2 linked regions of the Daphnia pulex genome follow. The protein of the gene in region 2 interacts with the protein of the main gene of each other region in a pairwise test. Links are inferred from orthologs where the notes say so. Each region holds a gene or a part of one and is shown on either strand. Other genes may lie near its edges. The genes, in order: transcription factor MafK-like and segmentation protein cap'n'collar-like.

Evidence for each region.
Region 1: the proteins of segmentation protein cap'n'collar-like (region 2) and transcription factor MafK-like interact in a two-hybrid assay, tested with the Drosophila melanogaster proteins (3 studies listed by BioGRID, with this or other methods). The link is inferred for Daphnia pulex from reciprocal best matches to the Drosophila melanogaster genes cnc and maf-S.

Annotation. Positions count from the first base shown.
Region 1 is NC_060022.1:2,779,944-2,791,396, reverse strand, and holds transcription factor MafK-like, read left to right. Parts: upstream 1-6,184; 5' UTR 6,185-6,341; coding exon 6,342-6,395; intron 6,396-6,471; coding exon 6,472-6,582; intron 6,583-6,637; coding exon 6,638-6,693; intron 6,694-6,773; coding exon 6,774-6,975; 3' UTR 6,976-7,119; downstream 7,120-11,453. Other genes in the region: protein FAM8A1-like, read left to right, coding at 4,658-4,940, 5,024-5,144, 5,215-5,429, 5,489-5,673; protein winged eye-like, read left to right, coding at 9,412-9,640, 10,677-11,453.
Region 2 is NC_060024.1:12,563,212-12,576,130, forward strand, and holds the start of segmentation protein cap'n'collar-like, read right to left. Parts: upstream 8,443-12,919; 5' UTR 7,730-8,442; coding exon 7,172-7,729; intron 6,601-7,171; coding exon 6,460-6,600; intron 6,259-6,459; coding exon 6,138-6,258; intron 1-6,137. Other genes in the region: protein CREG1-like, read left to right, coding at 9,535-9,745, 9,803-9,957, 10,029-10,148, 10,220-10,298, 10,360-10,472; transmembrane protein 161B-like, read right to left, coding at 10,903-11,028, 11,098-11,255, 11,328-11,424, 11,484-11,658, 11,730-11,870, 11,933-12,049, 12,111-12,326, 12,396-12,478 and 2 more. UniProt on the Drosophila melanogaster protein: Plays a role in posterior cephalic patterning. Probable subunit of a heterodimeric regulatory protein involved in the control of head morphogenesis.

The sequences.
Region 1 (11,453 bases), on a different chromosome or scaffold from region 2:
AATATTTACCAAATAATTTCAAACTGGTATTACGACGAAGAATGCAGTTGGTAACAAACAATGAACTGTAGCTGTTGCCGTGTCGGAGATACTCACTCGACTGATCTCTATCGCCTCTTCTCTCTCCTTTTATACCACTTTTTCTCACTCTAACTCAACTCTTAAGCCTTGCGGCTGTTGTACCTCCTTGATAATTATGAAACACGCCCCGTTTTTACCCAACCCTTCACCACTACATGACACGTTTTACGTAATGATCTCCTCGACCTCCGAATGTGAAAGCCATGCAAACTGCCTTTTCCTTCTGCAGGTTGACGTTGCTGGGGATTGGAATAGGTCTACATACAACAAGTCAACAACCAATATCAAATGAACACCAAATGGTTTGTCTTAAATCTCACTTTATAAACAGCAATTGACATTAGAGAAATGAAAATGATAAAATAATGACTTAACATGTAAAAACTCATAGTCCTTACACAAGGTCATGTGCTAGTGAAGAGTCAACAACGCTTCATGGATTATACTATTCAAGAGAATTCTTGCAGAAAATAAACTTAAGTTTGGCAGCCCATTAACCACACACATTCCAACACAAAACCCCGCATGTTGAAATGCCTTGTTATGAAGAATTCCCTTGAAATAAGTCCAAAGCACTTTTTTCCTAAGCCAAAATATTGTCTCTACCCCTCTCTACATCAAACACGCACATAAAATTATTCAAATATTTCAGACATTAAGTGTGTAGACACGAGAGATTTAAAGCAACACCCGTTGGACCCATATCTGTTTCCATTTCTGGCTTCACCCTATACCAACTAAAACAAAATGCTGGAGGTCTGAAACCGATAGAGAATAAAAGAAACACACACTTACTGCTTGCAGCAACTGAAGGATAACTATAATTCAGGACGTCGGTGTAGTAGCTCTGGACATCATAAGTTGTGGTGTAGTTCCCTGGAGCCTTGATGGTGTAATAACCGGCTGAAGCGTATGCTGTTGTTGTGTAGTAGGGCGCCGGCATTGCGGTTTGGTGTCCGTGCCCAAAAGACATTGGCAAACTAGTGGTCGACCCAGCCATCAACGATACAACATCCGACAGCAGCACGACATCATAGTTGACTGAACAATTAAAAATATTAATATTAATATTCAATAACCGGCATATTAATAAATAGAACAAAGAAGGATTGATAAATTACCCATAACTGCGAACTGGTTAAACGATGAACAATCCAGTGGCGTAGGAAAGTTGGTGTTGGAAACATCGGTACACCAATGGTCGACCCAGCCATCAACGATACAACACCCGACAGCAGCACGACGCCATAGTTAAATAGACAAATTTAAACATTAATATTCAATAGCAACTTAATCAACTCATTAATAGTCAATAGTAGACTTAGTAATACAAAACACTATGTAGAGAAACTGAATGTTTACCAATTGTTGCGAGCTGGTAATGCGATGAAGAAGCCAGTTGGTACAGGCAGTCCACAGGAGTTGTTGCCGTGTCGGTGATGCTCACCCAACTGATGTCTGTATCCTTTTCTCTCTCCTTTTATACGAATTTTTTTCTCACCCTCACCTCTTAAGCCTTGCGGGTATTGTACCTGCTTGATAAAGATGCAACAGATCCCTTTCTCACCCAACCTCTACACCACACGACACGTTTTACGTAATGATTTTCGTGACCTTCGAAGCAAACTGGCCTATCCTTCTGCAGGTTGACGTCGCTGATGAGGATGGGTCTACAAAAAAAAAAAATCAAAATGAATACCAAATGGTTAAGTAACAAAACATTTCTCGTTCTCTCCCAACCTCTACAGCACTGCATAACACGTTTAATAACTTAAACATCAATGTGACCTTCGAGCGCAAACGAAGGACATGCAAACTGGTACTTCCTTTTGCTGGTTGGTGTTGCTGGGAATTGGAATGGGTAGACAATAGGTCAACAACCAATATCAAAAGGAATATCATGGGTATAGCTTAAAACTCGGTTTGTAAATAGCATTTGATATTGGAGAAATAAGATGAGAATGATGGAAAAAATAGCTTAACATGTAAAAACTATAAAGGCCTCCATACGGTCAGATACTAGTTAGTCAACATTGCTTCATTGATTTTTCTATTCCAATGAATTCTTGCAGAAGATAAGCTTCAGTTAAGCAGCCCATGAACCGCACAAATTTAACTATACCAACAAATTCCAACACGAAACCCCACATGACTAAATGTCTTGTTGAGAAGAACTTCACTTAAAATAATTTAAACGAAATTTTTTTCTTAAGAAGCCAAAATGTTGTCCCTACCCTCTCTACTTGAAGCACTTATACACAATTCAACAAAAATTCCAGACATTGAGTGTGTAGAGGACACAAGAGGATTAAAACAACACCCATTAAGCCTGTATCTTTTTCCATGCCAAGTAAAACAATCAAATGCTGTAGGTCTGAAACCTATAAAGAATAAAACACACACTTACTGCTTGCAGCAACTGAAGGATAAGATGTCTATAATCTACAATTCACGGCATCGGTGTAGTGGCTCTGGAAATCACAAGCTGTGATGGTATTCCCTGGAACCTTGGTGGTGTAATAACTGGCTGAAGCGTATATTGTTGTCATGTAGTACACCAGTGGTCGACCCAGCCATCAACGATACAACACCAAACAGCAGCACGACGCCATAGTTAAATAGACAAATTATATATTTAAACATTAGCATCAAATAGCAACTGACACATTAACCCATAGTCAATAGTAGACTTAATAATACAAAACTATGTAGAGAAACGGAATGTTTACCAAATGTTGCGAGCTGGTAATGTGATGAAGAAGCCAGTTGGTACAGGCAGTCCACAGGAGTTGTTGCCGTGTCGGTGATGCTCACCCAACTGATGTCTGTATCCTTTTCTCTCTCCTTTTATACAAATTTTTTTCTCACCCTCACCTTCTAAGCCTTGCGGGTATTGTACCTGCTTGATAATGAAACACGTCCCTTTCTCACCCAACCTCTACACCACATGACGCGTTTTACGTAATGATCTCCGTGACCTCCGAAAGTGAAAACTGGCCTTTCCTTCTGCAGGTTGATGTTGCTGGGGATGGGTATACAATATCAATATCAAAATAAATACCAAATGATTATGTAACACTTCCCGTTCTCACCCCACCTCAACATCACTCCATGACACGTTTTACGGAAATTCAGTATGAAAAACAAATTAACTTGAAAATTCTTTTGTTCACTAATTCGTATTCATCATGACAACGATCACGTGCATGAACCATCAAGAGCTATCAGAAACAGTCATGTGTAATCTAAGGATAAAAAAGTTAATCACTATTAGTATTGTATTTAATTTTATCAAATTTGACGAGGAATTCTTTTATTAAGTTCTTTTTGGCGTCAAGTGAATATTTACAAGCTGCTTATTAACGAATTTTGAAACCGAAAGTAGATGAAAAAAGCAATCATCAAAAATTTAACAAATGTGTTTTGATGGTGAAATGTCGTAAGGTACCACCCCAAAAGTTAGCTCTCAATTACTGCCGATAAATATTTACATGGACTTGCAAAGTAACTAAAAACTACGTAATTAGACTGCTGAAAATTATCAAAGACAAAAGCTGAAAATAAAGCCACGAAAGTTAGGAAAAGAATATGTGTAAGAAACACTTCATTCAATGAACAAGGGTCTCATTGAGGGATCATAACACAGAAACAGAGTTTAAAGCTAATAGGTTACTGGTAAATAATGAAAACTTTTTCAGATACCTGGGCATTTCACCATGAGAGTAACAGCGGACTGAAGTGGTCTAACTTGTCAGTGGAGTAATAAGACAAGTTTTATGTAGCAACATAAAACGCATAGAAGCTAGATGAGCGCGAAGATTGAAGGGAAGATAAGGACGGAGCAGAACTTTGGTCTATTGTTGGTGTCGTTGCGTATGTTGTTGCTTCGTAGCAATACCGCCATACTCAGGAGACATCGGTACACCAGTGGCCAACCCAGCCGTCAACGACACAACACCCAAAATCACACGACGCCATAGTTACCTAGACAATGAAAAATTCTAACATTAATTTTCAGTTACAACTAGCACTTAACACATACAAAAACATATTGATTAAAAACTTTACATAAAAAAAAAGAAAAACGAATATTTACCCATGATTACGGATTGGAAGAATGCAGTTGATGACAAATACACGCAACAGTTGTTGCCATGGAGATGCTAACTTGACTCATCTCTTTCGAGTCTGACAGCTGACACCAGAATTGATTAACAATTGACTGACACTGACACTGAGAACTGAGAGACACTGAGAACTGAGAACTGACACAGGAATTGAGAACAATTGTCTTCTTCGTCCATTTCCCCCTTTCCTCATCGGCGATTCAGCGTTGCCAACGCCGCTTAAAAAGTGCTGTATTAGACAGCAATCGGTATAACTAGCGCCACCTATAAACTGCTTTCTGTCCGCTAGATGGTAGGGTGTGCTGTCATGGAGACATACTTCTTGGTGTCGTATCTCTATATCTCTGGTTTGTTGTGGTTGAGTTATTGAAACTCTTTCGGAATCAACGTAGGCTATGTAATTTGGCCTACAACAGTGAAAAACATTTCGGTTTTCTTAGAATTTGATCATGAATAGTGGTGTAAATGAATCTGAAGATTCTGCTGGAGAACTCCGAAGAATGGGAGAGTATGCCGATCAGCTAAGAAGCTGGTTGGGACAAGCATATCAATGGCAAACATTACAATGTCTCCCTTATTCAATGCCTTCAGTTTTCATGCAAAGTAGACATCGTCCTTTGTCCAATAGTACACCAGTTTCGGCTAGAACTGAAACGCCAGTGACAAATGTCAATCACCAACAAAGGCCATCTACTAGAATTGGTTCAGTTCCGGCAACACCTCCCATAGAAGGTATTTGATTTTCTTAATAAGCAAAAAATTTTTGTTAGCGAGATTCATGCTTAGTATTTAAAACAATATTTTTTATTTATTAGGAAGAGTTTTTGAAGTCCCAAAACTTTCAAAGCGCTTATTGGCTGAAGTGATTGATTTTGGTTTACTGTTTTTCATCAAAGCCTTTGTGACATTAACAGTTCTAGATGCTTGGAATATGGAGTAGGTCACAATTTTATTTTTATTAATCAGTATGGATTATGTAATACAAACAATAAAATTTAATCTCCAGAGATTCAGGTTTTTTCCAAACTGAAGAAAAAGAAATAACAGAGGAAGCTGATTATGAAATGGCCATGGCAATTACTGCCAATTTGTTAACTATTGAACTGATTCACCGCTTGCTAGTAGTTCTGTATGAAGTTTGTTTTACCCTTCAAGGTGGCACTCCAGGAAAACGAACAATGGGACTCAGTATAATTTCCTGCACAAAGTGTATCCCAGTTGGTATGTATACATCTTCATTACTACACCTGCTAAAATGTATACATTATATTTGTTTACAGGAGAAAATCGAGTGCTCGTGCAACCTGCAACGAAAGTCACATTTTGGAGATCTCTAGGTCGAGCATTCCTGAAGAATATGGGCACAGCCATTCTGTTTCCCACTTTCCTCCCATTAATGGTTGTTCAACATAATCGTACTCTATACGATATATTGTGTGGAACAGTTGTCGTTGAAAGCGAATAAATGTCAAAAGAACCTACCACATATGGCGCATTGTTTATCCCGATTAAAGCTGAAATGGTCTACTCTTGAAGTCTGAATCGATGTGCGTGATGGACACTTCATCTCCGCCTCGCATTACAACTTTAATTTTCTGTATCTTAGTGTTTTATGTCGACCAAAATTATTCCCCCAGTTGTTTCTATGTTATTACAAACTTTAACTAACATTTAATTGTTTCATTATTACATAGACTGTCACTTTCGGTAGGTCCGCAAGTTTTAGTAAGTTTTCCACAAGATTACAAATACACTGTATAGATATTTTGTATAAAGCTACTAATAAAGCGCACGTTTTGTTTTAAGGTGAAAACTGAAAAGTAGAGGAACTAGGGAATAAAATCGGTTTTCTCCTTCATTTTTCAATGTTTTTCAATTATTTTTTTTTTCCAAGAATTGTTTTCCCTACCGCTACGTGGTTCTAGTTGCGGTGTAACTATACATATATTCTGGTTTAACCGGCCTTCTCTTTATATAAGGCCTTGTCAAAATAAGCGAAACATGGCTGGAATAGAAAAACATCGCGATAGAGAATGACTCAGCGCGTTTTCTACCTGCGATGAAATTTTTCTTTCACGTCTACCTCGTAGAACTCCCACTTTTCGCCTTAGAAAAACGAAAATTTTAAATAAAATGAAAAAAGGTGACAAGAAAGATAGAAATGCTAATGCCAACAAATTTGATCTGGTGAGTGATGAAATCCAAAATGTTTGTTGTTGTTTTACTACTTTTAAATGCAAAACTAATGTGAGGTAACTTTTAGGAACCTTTGTCTCCATCCCCTTGTCTGGGTATTTCTGATGATGAGTTAGTATCCATATCTGTTCGAGACTTGAATAGACAACTCAAACTTAGAGGTTTGACAAGAGAAGAGGTAACAGAAACTTCAGTCTGACACATTGCATATTTTTAACAAGACTGTTCTACAGATAGTTAGGATGAAGCAACGCCGTAGAACCTTAAAGAACAGAGGTTACGCTGCTAGGTATATTGTTACATCACACTGTGTTTGATGTTGGGTATTTCCTATAAAATAAAAATAGCTAACAAGTGTTTGTTTTTTAGCTGTCGCATCAAGAGGATAGAGCAAAAGGACGAACTGGAGCAGGAGAAGGTTGGTGAACTTTCAGAAACAGAGAAGCTGGCAGAAGATAATGGCAAGATCCGTGAAGAGATTGAAGCCCTTCATCGCAAATATGAAGCCCTCCAGAAATTTGCCCTTCAAAAGAAAATTCCTTTGCCTTCAGAAATGGATCCACTGCACTAATGTTTATCTATTTCAACTACCTCCGTCTGACTACATCTTACATTTCTAAATCTAATTTCATGAATGTTTCAAAAACGAAAGGGCTTGAAGGGGCTTGAATGGTTCTGTTTGCGAGAAAGAAATACATCATGTACTTACCACGTAGTTCGTTGTTTCGACGTATAGATGTCTTTCTTCTCGTTCTCGACTGCTTTTTCGTGTCTGGAGGGTATGTAATAACCAAGGTTCGAAAAAGTTCCCAGTCACGCACGATGGCCCACAGGTTCGTTCTGCCGCCACGAGACACAGATAGCGTCTTCACTGCAGTTGCCGCTGTTGAAGGTTAAAATGTCAAAGCCAAAGGGAAATTTGGCCGAGTTTGTCGCGACTAACGAACCTCCCAGACAAGAAATGCTCAAAAAATTAGTTTCCAACGTTATTTGACAACACTATTTCTAATCCAGATAAATGTTGTAGCTTATAAAGTGACGGAATTGGGAGAGTTTGAAAACTACAATCCATCTCAACACTTACCGAGAGTTCAGAAACACCCGCTGCAGCAGCAGTCTCCTTTCTTCAATAAGAAAAAAACCTGTTTGACGGGGTCATAAAAAAACTGGAACATAAAGAAAAACCATGAAATATGACATTAGTAAGCTGCAGTTCGTCGAGATATGAATTCGGTCGTATTGAAACTTTGAAAGAGCCGATGCAAACGGAAGTCGAAGTATTGTTACTCTGATCATCCGCTCCCGCGCGTTTTTCCCCTCTCTCTCTTAAACTCCCTGCGCGAAATAGGGCGTTTTCGTGCGTGCATGAAAGACGGCAGCCGTCCGATAAAAATTCACGCGGCTTAAAAAATAACAACAAAAAAGAGAGCCATGACGCTGAGTAAAAGAAAAACGGGTTAAAAATAATGAAAGGGTCCCCCCTTCTCTCCCCCCAATCCACCTCTTTTGCAAAAGGCCCTGGGCGGAGTTTGTTGCGCGGGGCTAGATAAACAACCATTTCTTGCCATTGGTTCAATTCGTTGGAGGGCGGAGTCACTGGGCTCGACTCTTCTCTTGCATTCGACTCGCGTTCAACCATTCTGTTGAGAGACGCGGACGAGTAAACTACGTTCGTTTGTGCTGTTTTTTTTTTCGTAGTGACGCTCAGTCGAAATTGTTGGTGCCAGGCACAATTTTCATCAAAACAACACTTTTGATTGTGAAAACAAAGTTGACATTGCAGAAATCTGTCAGTTCGATATCGGTTTAGTGTTGTCGTGTGTTGAAAGCGAAGAAAATATCTAAAAATTCACCGAATTTCCACCTTTTGGAAAACGTTGGATCACTGTTTGCTAATAGTGACGCCGCCTGGAAAGTTCCGCGACGGCACCGTCGCAGTTCTATCTTTTTTTTTGCGGCGTAGTTCATCCTGCTGAACTGACTATCTTAGGCCCCCGTGTTGACGCTAGTCTTTATTAGCTGACCACAATTCCGACGGCTTTTACCGGGTAAGAAAAACTCTTGAAATTTTAGAAGCTCCTAGTCTTGTCAAGTGGAAGTTTGATTTTTCTTCCAAAGATCAAAGGCACGTTTTGAAGTTGATTTTTCGCCAACTGATGATATTACGTAGAAAGCACGTTGATTGGCCTGTGTCCCATGGGCATTTATGTTTGCTGCAACTGTACGTTTACCTTGAATGACGCAATGGCTCAAGACATTTACTATTGTTAGGCCAATCCCTTCGTGTCTACTAACTTTTTACGTAGGTGGTTTTTCTGCTTGCAATTACCATAAACAAACTCAATAACACGATGATAAGACAGGCTGCAGCATATGAATATAATTTTCAGTTGAGATGCATTTTCCCATCTGCTGATGACCTCTTTCCCGGCGTTTTCTCTTTTAATATTTTAAACATCTTTTTTTATTTATATTTTGGAACAATTTTCAACCGCCACCCCCTCACTGTGATCGAATTTCCCGCTTGCTTCGCGTTCCAGCTTGTAGGTTGAGTCCGATCCGATTTCACTCAAAACCTTTCCCGTGTGTTTAGCCGTAATATTCTCTTGATTGTCGCGCCGAGAGTCTTCACATCAGTTGCCCGGGAGAGATATCGTTATCAGTTGCTGCTGTGTCGGCTGATGTTTCTAGTAGTCGTCACCCACAGTCACGAGGTCAAATTAACTTTTTTATTTTGCGCCGTTATTTATTATTATTTAAAATAAAATAAAAAGAGAACTTCTAGCGTTGTGTGGCTATTGATCTCCTAGGATTGGTTGTAGCAAAGGATCGATGTGAACGCTGACGTGGGCTGATTTAGATGTGATGGACGTTCGAATATCTTAGGCAATCGATCAATAACCTAATTTGTCGTTTCTTTTGTATTTTTAGCGTTGGGTGCAATGGGCAACGTCCGTGACTTGTTCGTGAAACAATCGTAAGACATCTTGGCGAAGGAAAAATAATCATGGATCCGGAATCGGGCAAAGTCGGGCAGTTGCAGCAGGCTGCGATGCTAGTCGTTGCTGGATCGACACGTCTTAACACATCTCCAATGATTCCCGGAATGAAAACGGAATTTCCAGGACCTCCACCCGTCTACGATGGGCACGGTTTCGGTCCGCCCGTCGTCCTGGATCTGTCTCCCCGTGGTGTCGACCACCACCCTTCATCCATCCAGTCACCTTACACTCCTGGTAAACAGACACACAGTGCATGTCCAGTCGAATTCAGTAGACATTCATTTCAATAATAGTCTTCGCGGAATACGATGGGGGCGGCTTGTCGGGACATGAAACAGACACAAAAAGAGAGAGGACGGTCCTGTCAGTTGTCACCAATACCCCTGTGGTGGTGGTGGTGGTCAAGTCGCGCAACAAGGTCAAAGTTCACTTGAAGGACCTTTTTCTATCCATGACGGATAACTTTTTTACGACTTTATGTATAGGCCTATTTGTGTTTTAGCGTTCTTCCTATTCTTTTCTACTAGCCAATGGTTATTATTAGTGCACCACATAACTTTTTTTTGAGAGCCATGTCATTTACTTGACTGTTTTTCTCTGTACCACCCCTCGAGGGATAACGTCAGTAGGGTTGAATTTCGACAGACATTACGGAGAAAAATAGAAATTAAAAAGAGAAAAAAAAACGATGGTAATACAAGAGCTCTGGGAAATGTTGGCAGTTGGACAGATTCACTTTGGTGATCAGAACTATCTAATCCTGTAAAAAGAAGGAGGAAATTTTCCATTCCGAAACAAAGTGAAGGAAGGTTCAATTAGATTCCCGCTCTTTTTCTTTGAAATGCACCTTTCTCAAGTCGACCTGTGTGTTAAAAAAGTTTCGAGGGTTGGAGTGACTCCTCCCTTTTTCTTACCTGTTAATCTTTCAGCCCCCCCCTGAGGGAGTGGGGGTTGTGAATGTACATATACAACAAGAGAGAAATGTGTTTTAACTTTTATATACGACAATAACCTGGGGATACCTTTCGAAGCTTGGGTGTGTGGCCTTGGGAAGAGAGTCTGCTGGACTAGTATGATTGTGTGTTAGCCCCCTTGTTAGCCACCCGAAAATAGAAAAAATTTTGGCCGTTGTTTGACAATCATGTTGTTGACTTGGAGCTATTTCCGCAATCATTTGCGTCTTTAAACATCCGACCAAGTTTTCTGGGAACTGACGTTTGTTGTTATTGCATTTGGCCTGCGTTGCCAATGTGACTTCCTTTTATTACAGTGACGGTGGACGGAGAGTGTGGCGGAGAGATGGAGACGCGGATCAAACGTGAAGTCAAGACGGAATCGCCGGATTCCGACGGCGGTGATGAGGACGAGAGTAGAGACGACGACGACCAAGTGGATAGCGGCACACAAGAAGAAGAAGAAGAAGAGATGGGGGGAGGATGTAGCCGGACGATGCCACGAATGCCGGAGGCGAGTCTCTTCAAATGGCACCAGAGGAGGCAGCAGAAACGGCACCAGGATGAACAATTGCAAGTCATCCAGCAGCCGGCTGCGGTGATGACAGTAGACGGCTCCTTGCCATCACCATCACCACCGCCCACTGATCTCGATTTCGTCGCTTCTATTCCCAAGCGGAAGGCTTTGATCCATCCGCAACGCAAGCACAACGCCACAACGGCCTCTTCATCGAATGTTGCCATTCCGGTCGGCATTGCCGTGGCCAGGCAGCGTAGGGATAAATGCCGCTCCGATACGCCCATGCCGCCCGTCCAACCCAAAGCTAGGCGTGCCGCCCAGTCCAGTCCCGTTTCTTACCCAACGGACCTATTGTGTACCATGTCCAACTCATCCGCCGGATCTACTGAGCAACAACATCTCTTCAGTCCTTCTTCACTAGCTGGCCTAAGTGCAAGCTATCCGGCCGGAAGAGCTGTTTATAATCCAACGGCTCTTTACGCTGGTCATCCAGCAGCTCCGTCGCTCGTCTCCACTCCGGCCGCAAATTGGGGCTGGTCCAATCAGGCGGAATATAATGCTGCGGTGGCCAACT
Region 2 (12,919 bases):
AAGAGATACTACAAAACGAAGAAAACAAAAAAAAAATGAACAAGAATAGAGCGCTAGTCGGAATGAAATTCGTGGAACCACGAACAAAAAACGGACGCTCCGGTCGACCGACCAGACAATGGCTAAGACGAAAGCTATTTAAAGAAGGAAAGAAAAAAATAAGAGACTTTTACCTTTAGCAGCCAAAGAGGTCTGAAGGCTAGCGCTAAGACTACTACCACTACGTATCAAAACTTTTGAAGCTGTTATGTTTTCCCTCTTCTATACAAATTTAGTAGAGTTACACTTCATGCGTTGCTGCACTTTTGGCTGTGTGCTAATACTATTAAACTTTAGATTTTCTTTTTCAACTTGATGAAAAATCTGGGGGTTTTGAATCTTTTTAACGATTTTAAATGAATATCTCACGCTGACCGTTCCGCGCTCTCAGCAATCAAATAAACTCCCGTGACACATTCCGTTCGCGCGAGGTGCATCGCAATTCAATTCCTCCGAAAAAGGACTAACGACGACCGGGGGCCCTGTCTATATAATTTCACAGATTACATAGAGGGCCCTTAATCGACGACGTCTAATAACAATGACATGTAATTTAAGAAAAAAAAGGGGGGGGGGTGGCAGGCAGTTCTAGGTGGATGGAACGATTACCGAGTTGCCTCAAAAGTAATTACTATCAACGATTTCCTTTTGAAAAAAATGCTTTGGCTCAAAAATGTTTCATTCCATTTTTGGGGTCTCTTCTTTTTTCATTGGCGGGGCCGAGAAGGAATTGAATGCGCGACAAACATCATGTACGAAATACGGACTAGTACAAACATAATAGGGACGTGTCAATTAAATTTTCTGGGCCCGGCAGGCAGCAGCCGAGACTGTGTTGTTTCAAAGCTGTTATTACAAGCACACAAGAAATAGAAAACTTCCCTCCCAACGAGGTTCGAGATGAGCAGGGACTTGAAGCTGCACTGCAATATATGGACATGGGGAACTCAAGAGGAGGCGAGGCCGAGACAAGGAACTTTTTTTCTTTCCTTCTTCCCTCAAGTTGTGTCTACCAAGCGCGCAGCTTCCCTCCCATTTAGCTGTCAACTTCTTGGGAACGTGTTAAAACACGCTATTTAAACAAGCAGAAGGGTAGAGGGAGGAGGACACGAAAGAGGAGAAGAAGAAGAAGAGGAAAGACCCGCATACATTGCCGATCAAACAACCATCGGATAACATGGAAATAAAACATAATCCCGACTCTGTGTGTTTGTGTGTTTTTTCTTTCTTTCTTGGGCTTCTCTTTTTTCTCCATTGCGCTTCGTTTCCTAACAGTACGTGACTTTTGGGTAGAAAATGACTCAATGAGCCAGTGGATTCGCTCACGCCGACCATTATTTCGATGACGACAACGGACCCCAAACAACTAGTTCTTCAAGAAAAGCTTCCAACTGTTATAACAACATCCAACCTGGTTTTCCCTACGAAGAAATCTTCCTGCGATTCTTCTCCTCTCCAATGTTTTTCATGCGAATTTGATCCACAAATATACACGGATTGAGGTTGTTTCCAACGGGCAAGAATGGAGTTATTGGTACAACAAGCGCACGAATGAAATTTCAAAATAAAAATGCTAGAATGTTTTTCTCGTTTTCTTTACGCTGAAAAAAGGGGGCGAAGGACCCCTTCATCAAAGACTATTGTCTAACCCACCTCTCCCGACTACCTACCAAGCTGCTACTACGTGAAGATAAAATCGGACAAAAGAGTTTTCTTGTTATTTCTTTACCTTTCTATCTGTCAGTCTCTTTCTCTTTATTTTTAAAAAGATAGAAAAAACAACATCCAAATAGAACAAGAGAAAATTAAATGCAATCCAGTGAAACAGAGCTCCAAACTGCATGTCAAACACATTCACAATTAGAAGCTCTAACATTATTTTTTTAAATCTCACAGCCTCGATTAGCGTAGACGATCTAAAGCGTGAAGAGAATCAAACCAAATCTATTCCACTGTAACCTGACCCTTGAACACTACCGACTTAAAATTTTCCAGGAAAATGGTCGATTCAATCTGACGATGAAACGAGTGACCGTCCCAGCTTCCCTGCCAGTTTCCGCGTTATCGATAAAATGCGCATATCTATCTATCCAACAAGTTTCACACTATACATAATGTATGTGGATGCGATGTACACTGCGTCGTTTCGGTTAGTTTCTAGTTTTTTTTACTTTTAATTTTACAACTAGAATATGAAAAGTCGTGATCAGGAAGAAAAAGTCCTGGAGTGCGTAAAATAAGGAATCGCGCAAGCTGATCGGTGAGAGAGAGAGAAAAAGAGGGTTATAACAAATGATTCGTTGGAATTCTTTTTTATCTGTTTCCTTCGAGACTTTTCCGATGTAATAATATTCATGCAGGATAGAAAAAAAAAAGGTTGAAGGAAAGAGAGATCGAGGGAACAGCATGGTACATAATAAGCGACCGGCGGGTGGTTCTCTAACGCAACCAACCAATGGCGTGGATCGGCCAATGAAACGGACGGACCTACCATCCTTCTTTTGGTATCATGCACAGTTATATACACGCGTGTATAGTGAATAGACACACACATGCCGAATGAAAAAAAAATTCCCCCTAGCACACGTAACCAGAGAAGGGGAGAGAGAAAGAACACGAAGCCAGGAAAAAGGCTAGCTGGCAGCCTCTGGCAGTGTGAGTTTGAATTCACCTAACACAAGCACATCGGAGAGAATGGATGAAGAAAAAAGATACGAAGGCACCCCCGAAAAGAAAAAAGAAAACGTGATGGTCTGTCCCGCCGTCCCGTCAGAGAAAAAAAAAGAGAGACGGTTCAAATTGGATATTCAAGTTACAAAAGAAAAAAAAAAGAACTGAGAGAGAGAGACGGAACGTGTGCTGGCTTCACGGAAGAGTAGAAAATCCCGTAGCCCGGTAACATAATAGAAATAAGAGAAAAAAGAAGAAACTCCGATATACGATGCAAGTTTTGCATTCCATCCCGCTGGGTGGAGCAGTGCGCCAGGTTGGAGCTCTATAACCTAAACGCCGTGACGGAATCTCTCTCTGTGTCTATCTCTTAGGACAAAGAGGGAGAAGAAAAAGAAACGACAAACAGTTTTCTCTCTCTTTTTCCCAATCAGCGCCATCTCACACTAATTTTTCATGCAAGTCGTGTGTTGCATTGCATCGGGAGGAATTGTTCGGGGGGGCTTTCTCCAAAGACCTCCCTCCAACGCTGCTGGGCCCCTTTGACATCGGGGGGTCGGAGCAAAGACGCGACGACGCGCTCGCTGCTGTGCGATTTCGATCGCCGAAAATTTACTTGTACAAGACATCTTTTTCTTTGGCCTCACTTTATTATCCGTCAGCTAGAAAATGCCGTTTCGACCCGCGGCTCGAGGGGGGCAAAAATAGATCAGATTCCGACACTGTTTGAAAAACTGAAGCTCCGGCAGAGCTTATTTTACTCTCGGTGCACAAGACCTACACGCGCCTACACGCACATAGAAACAATGAGTCTATTATCCTTCCATTTCTAAACCAAAAATAAAAAGCCCAAAGGTTTGGAAAAAAGTCAATACTGAACAAACTATTCATCACGTTGGAAAAATGAATTTTACGGACCTCACTGATACTGCTGCGGTCTTCAAAGACTTTTTTTTCGGACTCCTTTTGTCTCCGACCGCCGATGGAACTCTTTCTTAACATTTTAATGAATTCGCAGGCACCTGAGACGGTGAGAAGGTTCATAACAAACTAGTCTTTTCGGTACTTTCTTCTTCCTTTTTCTACCCCGCTTGTTTTGTTTCTCTGTCCATTTTGCTGGCCACGGGTCATAAGGTCCATGCAGCAGCGCTGAGTTAATGATCGCGCCCGGGCCTCAATTCTCGCCGCGCTTAACGATTTGGAGAGTATCTTTATAAGCAGGACATCCAACTTTTCACTTCGGAGAGGGGTCATCCCCCGCTGAACAGGATCATTTACGCACCGATAATTTCTCCGATGGTCATTGTGGGGGTAAACACAAAAACAACAACGCAAACGAAGGGAGGAAAAAAAGTGATATTTATAAAAGAAAAACGGCCTACGAACCATAAACGATTGAATTCTGGAATTTCGGTCGACTTAACTTTGAACACAAATGCGTAGTGCTAAATGTGAAGCGTAACCTTCGAATGTGATTTATCCTTGATGTGACACAAGGATCCCAACGACAGAGTCGGTAGAATGCAGCGAAGTAACGCCTTCCGCTACTTTAATTCAAAAATGGTTGCGCTTCCACAAGGGGAATGCAATCATAAAGGGGAAAAAAGATCAAAGAGAGAGAGAGAGAGACTCGGTCTTTTCGGAGTGCGGAAGAAAAATGAAGGAGATGGAAATGCCGAACGGACGCGGAGTCGAATGTAATCCCGCTGTTGTTGCTCGGCTTCACCTTTTTAGTGAAGGGAGCCAGGTTTTTATGATTAATGATTGCGGGTGCAACAGCACAAGACATCAGCGGGAGGTTTTTTCTCCTTATTTTTCTTCTTTCTTCGTCTGACTATGGCAAAAAAAAAGGTAGGGAGGGAGAAGTCTCACAGAATGGACGGGCATCTGCTCTTCCTGGCTAGTTCCTCTCCTAATAGGCTTTCCATTCCATTATCACAGCATCAAGGCTATAAAACCCCATTCGAAACGTAATCACAATGATACGAAAAGCATTCAAAAGTCAAACCAGAGTCTATTCAACACGCCACGGTCCGAGGAGACAACTGGCATATCCAAATACGAAACTGGAACGCGAGCAGGAATGAATTTCCGGAATCAAATGAACCCAACCAACTCTGTAGGGACACATCCGCATCTCTTTTTGGCGGATGTTAAGATCGCGTAACTTGTTGGCTGGAAATCGAATTCCTCCCATCCCACGGATATTTACTTTGAAATGACGTTTGTAACATGAAAAAAAAAAATGTTTTTGGAAATACCTGGCCTTGCGTAGATACATCGAGAAAAATATGTATATAATATCACATATAAATATAATATATATCCCCCCTCTGGTCGACAAGTCCGAGTTAGCGGGGCGTCGAACTCTGAGTAATGACTAATGATCTTTGCCTGTCATGTGGGATATAGCATTCATCGGCGGAGCCATCTCCTTCTTTTTTTTTCTTTTTCTCTCTTCTTCTCCTCTCCTCTTTTCTTTCTCTTTCACGGCGGCCCACATACGCCAGACTTTTCTCTCTTTTTCCCTTTTGTTACTGATGTTGAAAAGCAACTGTTCTGGCATTCTATACGATGTGGATGGCGATACAAAGTATGAAGCGATCAGAATGTACCGCAAAGCGCTTAGCCGGAATTTTTTGTGGTGCAAAACTGTTGACTATTTGGCGCTGAATGTCATTTGTAGATTTTCAGAAAAAAAAAAATTGTTTCGTGGAATTACGTCTGAAATAATATCATCACCGCATAACCCAAAGAAAAAACTGCCTGAATAAATTCAGCTTGGTTGTAACAAATGCGGAATAAGAAAAGATCTTTAAAAGCTTGAATAATTAAATAAAGTTAATATATAAGCATCAATTATGTAACACTTATATAAGAAAAGATTTTTCTTGAACCATACTGTTCAATGTGCGTAAAAAACGGAACTTTTGCCAAGTTCTGGAAACGGTCAGCGCCACCTAGTAGTAAAGCAAGAAACGAGTATGCTTTTCCTTCGCTAGATGGTGCCACTGACCAAAATTCCGAAAATTCACAGAACCTTCGAGAAGTGTCATAAGGAAGTCCGAGGTCACTTGTACTATTTATCCACCAACCACATTTATGTGACGACATTTCTGATTTGGTTTTTGAAATCTGCGCAGCGCAGACTTGACACTCTATGAATCCATATACAGATGGATGCAGCGTAGTTAAGAAATGCGACAACCTGTTGCGATGTTACCATGGGTTCAAAGGATCCAACGCAGGATCAGATCACATTTCCTGAACTCAGTAGAAACTCGCTAACTATTTGAGACTCACCAATAAGAATTTACGCATCATGTTAGTCTAGTGACGCAATCCTTTTAACGTTTTCCTTAGAAAACGCAAAAATAAAAAAACCCACACGACCTAACCAGCAATTTGTTATGCAATTTTTCACTCACCTGTTTCATCATCAATTCGATATGATAAGCCGGCCCAGGGATCGTCATCTGAAGGAGATTTGTCCGGAGGGTCCTCGTCGTTCTTATTTTCGCCATTTTTGGTCTTCTCCTTTTGTTCGCCCTGCATGTCAGATAAAGAAAGTTTGTACAACCCATTATTTATTGCTGCTCATTAGACGATGAAGCTTCCATGCAGTTCACAGCCAGCACTTTTGTCGGCCTTCCTCTAACATGTAATATCTCTTTATGACACAGCCTTCACATTGCAGTGCCGACCATTTTTTTTTCTTTTTTCAAATAGGAAAAACTGTAGTTTCTCTACCTTCAAATCCAACTTGTCCTTCAACGTTGCTGTGTCGACATCCTCGCTGCTGGATTCTTGATCTTCCGGAAAGAGAAAATGATCACGGGGGACTCCAATGTCGATGTCTTGCTTCCATAAAATTTCTATCAGGTCCGCATCCTGTGACATGGATACAAATTGTGTTACATAAGTCAAAACAGGGTTTCCTTGAAAAATCAATCGAACAAAAACTAAATTTCAGTATCCGTTATATAAATCACAACACTACGACATAGAGAAATCCAGGAAAATCATGCGTCCGATGAAATTTTGCGAGGTCAATCGACAACAGAACAGGCAGAATGTTTCTAACAGACTGTTGAGTGTTGGGAGATTTGGGAGATCCTGAGACTGGGTCTACAAGAGGTCGCCAAGACAAAAATTGTATCCAACGTGTTCTCCTGATGACAAACAAGAAATCGGCAGCAGCATGACATGCCATTTGTGGACTGCATCGCACGTCATCATCGTATTTTTTTTTTCTTTTTAGCAAATTCATGCTTAGCTTTCAATTGCATTCATCACCCATTTTGGACCTGCTGCCACGACAACAGCATAGCACCATTACCCTTTTCACTCTTTGTACAACAGAACAGACCTGCTTACACTCCAGGTGGTAGGAGGGGGAGCAATTCACTTGGCAGACTCTGAGTATTTAATGGATTTTTATCTTGATTGTCAATGGCTTTACCTCCAGAGATAGTACAGAAGCGTCATCTTGAATAGAAGATTCTGGAGGTGATTGTGGTTGTATGGAATCCAGTAGTTCATCATGATGGGATTGTGAACTTACAGTGGCAGCTATCAATGAACTGCTAGAAGAAGCAACAACAGGGCTCACTGTGTTTACATTAGGCAAATTTGAGTCACGGTTGAGTGAGCTGTCATCCAGCAGGTAAGCGGTAATTGTTCTTGGGCTTCGTGGGGGTAAGATGCTTGTGTATCTCCCAAGATCATTTAAATCTTCAATGAGCTCTTCTTGATATTGAGTTAAAGAAGCTTCCATGCTCTTAGGATGTAAGTAGGGTATATCTGGCAAGTTGCTCATGAATCCATGATGGAAATCCGATGGGGCATGAGCCCAAGTGTCTCCCATTGTAACATTGTGGAAACTTCCCCGAATGGAATTGGACCGTCCCAGACCCAATCCAAGATAAGATTCAGGATCTACTCTAATCAAACTGAGTATCAGAGCTAGATGAAGAAGTTCATCCGAGTGTCTATGAATCTTTTTGACGTAAGCCAACATTTTGGCGTTTATTGCTTTGTCTCGGCGTTCAGATTAACTTTGTGCACAGTACGTCGCAACGACGTAGTTCTTGGGAGTGGGGATTCAGGTTCCCTATGTCGAGGGAAACATCACTAAAAACAGTATTCATCAAACACGTTCACCAACATTTTGTTTGTATGTTGCAATCTTGATAGTTTGTTTTGAAAGGAAGATGCTGCTGCTGCTGCTGCTACGACAGCGGCGTGAAAATTTACAAGTCTATCCTCTTTGTAAAGGGGCAAAGTGACTCAGCTCTCACGCTGGATCAGTGACACCTAGGGAGCCAACAATAAACTAACAAGAATGATGCAACACTCCGACGAACATATCTCGTATCTTACGTACAGTGTAAGTTTATAACCACTCAATTTGGACAGGCATTTATCAGTGTTATAAGTCACGGGATATGCAAGGTGACTTTCAGTCAAACTTTGTACCTTCCTTAAAATTTAATGTCGATTGATGTCTGAATTTTTCCGGTTTGATGACGTAAAATCCAGACGTAAATACAGCATTGCCAAACAACATCACACATTTTCCTCTGTACATTTTAACACGACAATATATATCAGCATGCACCTGATACAAAACAACATGATCTGATGTTGCTAAGAATGCAAAAAATCCTTGAAAATTTCCAAAATTTAGACTTTGGCCCTGATAAAGTCATATCTTATCATATTGTTTACAAAAGCCCGGCAAAAATATCACAAATAGGCTGGCGTAGCAACGAAGAGAAATTGGAGAAAGGAAGGAAAACTAACCTCGTTAAATATACTGCCTTTATTTGTGGATTTCGCAGAGTTGGCAATATGCACTGGCGAATCTGGTTCAGGAGATAAACTCAACATCAAGGGAAGATCCACATCCACCATTTTTCGGTTTAACTTAAACTGTTTCACGTTAGAAAACTGTTTGTTTTGATTTTTCACCTCGGTGACGACCAACCACACGATGCCTCAAGCGTGAATCGTATTCCTCGGGACTCGAAACTAGAATGCCTAGACAGTGTCGACAATCGTGACGGCGAGTAGAAAAAGTAGGCGGCGCCTAAAGTCCTTAGGACTTCGTATAGTACACTTGGCGCCCGATTCACCCGTTGGGCAGTGTCGCTAATGCTCGATTTGCTGGCGATTTCAAGTCTATGGGTTATCAATTCAGAATTATCAACGAACTCTGCTTGTTTTTTTTTTGTATCCAGTCAGGTATTAATTTACAAAATCTTCTTCCAACCGGACATGTTTATCAACAAGCTCACAAAATCAACATTAGAAGCAAGAGCTGGACGTGCTGAGCTGGACCCTGTGATAAGACTCGCACCAATCGAACTGGCAACGCTTGCTCGGTTTTAAGATGGTCTCCGTTACTAGGGCATGATACACATACATAGTGGAAAGCCTTGAGATAAAACTGGACGAAGGTAGGGCTGAATCAAACTTGATCTGACACTAGCGACATCCCCTTGAATTTCTGATCACGTTCCAAGTGTATGTTTTAATATAGGCCCTCGTCCGTACCGTATCGGACACATATCATAAAAATTTTCAGGTCTGCATTGATTATACGACTGGAGTCTTGTTTACTTTTCCTATCCGGATAAGGCTGCAATTGATATTCACAAATCCTGAAAGCGTGTTTCGAAAAGATTAAACCGAATTGTTTAGTAACCGCCAGGTAGAGTTTCCTTTAACATTTTTAACGCTTAGCGTAAAGAAAACGGCAAAGTGTGTCGTGCTCATTAAAAAAATGTCCTTTGGGTGTAGTTCTAGCGTTAAACCGTAACCATGGAACGCAGCTGGAAATTCTTCGCTTTGATGTTTGTTCTGGCTGAATGGATCGAACCGGGAGACTTTGCGCTGAACAACCGCAACCACATAACATATGTCAACATGCCCTACGAAATAAAAAGAGAAAATAATCTAACCGTCGTTAAATCGGAACCTCCTCCACACGAGCTAGTGGCCAAAATGGCTCGCTATATCGTACACAAGAGTGGTAAATTAAATAATGATTTAAAACAATCTAGCTACTATAAAGTTGTGACCATTTAAGACTGGACCGCACTTGCCACCATTTCGACCCACGCTCCCATCGCAGGCTATCCGTTTGCTAATATTTTCTCGGTAAGCGATGGACCAGTCCACATTTCAAAAGGGGTCCCTTATTTTTACTTGACGGACATGGAAATATCTGTTCAGGATTTAAAAGTAAGCATCATTTCTTAGTATCTAACATGACGTTGTGCCAGTACGCTTTACGCGGTTTAACTAATACGCAGGAAGACTCAAGGACGACAATCACAATGAGTTTAGCTCAAACTCATTTCTGCAAAAAACACCAGTACGACCCGGAAGATCCTCTTTGTGCTCACATTATTCTGACGGGGAAACTCGTTCGCGTACGTAATGACTTGAAGCCATTAAAGTGCATTTAAAAATTGATCGAAACATTGATCGAATTGATTTTTAGGTCACCGATCCCAGCGAAAAGAGCTTTGCACGAAAAGCGTTATTCTCTCGACATCCGGAAATGAAAGACTGGCCAAAAGGTTCTTAATATTTAAATAATGATTTGAATTGCAAAGTTACTCACCTGGTTTGCAATTTCAGATCACGGTTGGTGGTTCGGGAAATTAGTTATCAGTAAAATCTGCCTTCTCGATTACTTTGGTGGTGTAAAGGACGTCGATCTAGCCGAGTACTTCGCCACCAGTCCTTTGTGAATTAAAGAAATCGTTGTAACCTTAGAATAGAAGGCTCAAAATTGCAATGTTAATAAAAGCTTCGAAAAAAAAGTGTGACAATTAGAATTGAATGAATTTGCTTATCAAATAAATTAACTATTTATTCATAAATAGTTTAACAGGGTAGGCAAATAAGGGATTTGTTCACAGATCCTTAATCGTCATCATCCAGGCCGAACTCGAATGAGATCTGTTGTTTCAAAATGTAGAAGTAAACGCTCACTCACACACGCACGCAATTCACACACAATGAACCACAGGGGTTTCCTACGGAGATTGACTACTTGTGCTGTATTTGCATCCATCCGACAGCAGAAGACACGGGACTACTTTGAATTGCAAGTATCTGCACGCCGCCAAAATTGTGATGCACGGCACTGTTCGTCCATTAGACATGTTCGTCTCGGTTTCACACTACTCCATCAAAAAAATAGGACTGGTAGGCGAGACCACAGCCAATTGTGAAGAAAGACAAAAATTGCATCCACCAGTTGGCAAACCCGAAAATGCCACGAAATACTTCGTACGAAAATATCTGGCAATCAATTCAAAAATTTGTAATTATAATTTTTAAAATCATCAATAAATAATCTGGATTACAAACCTGGTGAAATGTGCTGAGGGCCGCAAGCCACTGTTCTCTGGCGTCAACCAAAGTGGTCTCGTCATTTGGCAAAAGAGTTGAGAGAGTTGCTTTTGGTTCCTGCTGTGGATCGCACTCGTCTGGGTTATAATGATGTTGACCAAACCAACCGTAGCCTCCTACATAATGTTTAATCGATAAAACCATTAGTGACAGTGATAAAATTAATGGAACTAGACAAAAGTAGTTACCCAAAGTTTTGTTCATCAACGTAAAACCGACACAAAGGATAACCGGTGCAACGAATTGCAATCCAACCACACAAAGATAGTAGAAAATAATAGCAATCTGCAAAAAAAAATGAAATTAAACATTTTTTCCAGCATTAAAAATGAACTATTGTCAACCTTTCTCTGAAGGTCAACATTCGAAATTCGACCAGCCTCTTTTTTCATGTTTTCAATCTTCTCTTGGGCTAAGTTGAGATAAGCCTGGAAGCAAGATGGTGCGGAAACGATCCGAACGATGCTGAAAACTACACACAACCAAAGACGCATGCTGTCGAATGTTGCATCATTCATGCTAACAAAAATTAAAAAAAAAATAGGTAAATTTATCATATTTGTAACCAGATAAAACTCTATTATTCTTACAGTGGGGCTTCCATGTTACCGAAGATTCGGACGGAGAAATAATGCCTCGCCAAAGGGCGAACCCAAAGAAGGGAAAGCAGGAACGGCGATACCAGATTGATGTACATGAACATTTTTAACACTTTTCTTTCGCTACAATAACTGCAGAGAAGAGAACAACATTTCAATTTCAGATTTTATGTTTCAACTTGTTTTAAGCTTACCGTAAAGCATCTAGATGCATGCGACTCACTCGCAAACCAGGAAATATAAATAGAGCACCCGTAATTCCGCACCACACAGCAAAGCAGAGTTTCAGAATCAACTTGGAAGCAGGACCTCTGTAATAGATCAATAATTTAAGACGACGATTTAAAATTTATCGAATATGAGACGTTATACTCTGAATCCATCGATTGGCGTTCTAAGAAAACGGATGCACTTTTATTGAAAGAGGAATATGCAGCATCCAATCCGATCTCCAGGTTAGATTCGTCAATCAATAGCAATCCTAAGGCAAGGACGAAGCAAAACGATCCACCGACAAGAACCAATGACCTCTCAGCAGCAGCTTCGGTGTTCCAGAAGTAAAGACTAGTGACACTGCAAAGCGATTTTCTGTGGAATAAATCATAACAAAAAATTATCATCTGCAGTTCACATCTTTTTGCAGCTAAGAATAATTACAAGGCAAATCCAATAAGTAGAAGGCACCACAGCATACTAAGGTTAACTTCTTGATTACCCTTAGGAAACACCCCACAGTAGACCTGATGTGGAACAATTGTATAAACTTTTGAAGAAAATAATTGAAAAAAAATCTAACTTACCTCTGTTATAAGATAGACAACTAGGACGAATACACTGTAGTCAACCAACCAAACAAATTCAGTGAAAAACTTGAGTTGTAAAACATCTTTAGGAAATATTTTGGCAGTTTCAAGCTGAGAGCACAAATAGAAGATAATACAAATTTAATACAAATTTAGAATCTTATTGAAAATAACCTTACCTGTAAATCCAAATTTCTGGGAACTGTAAATGTCTTATCTTCTACAGGTTCCTCTGCCCACTTTCTTTTGTGCTTCCCTCGTTTATTGTCTCCTTCTTTAGGCTTTGGCTTTGGTTTGGGCTGCGGAAGTCCTGCTAACTTTCTCAACTCTGCATCGGTAGGGTGGAGGTAGTACACCAGCCTGAAAAAAAAATACATT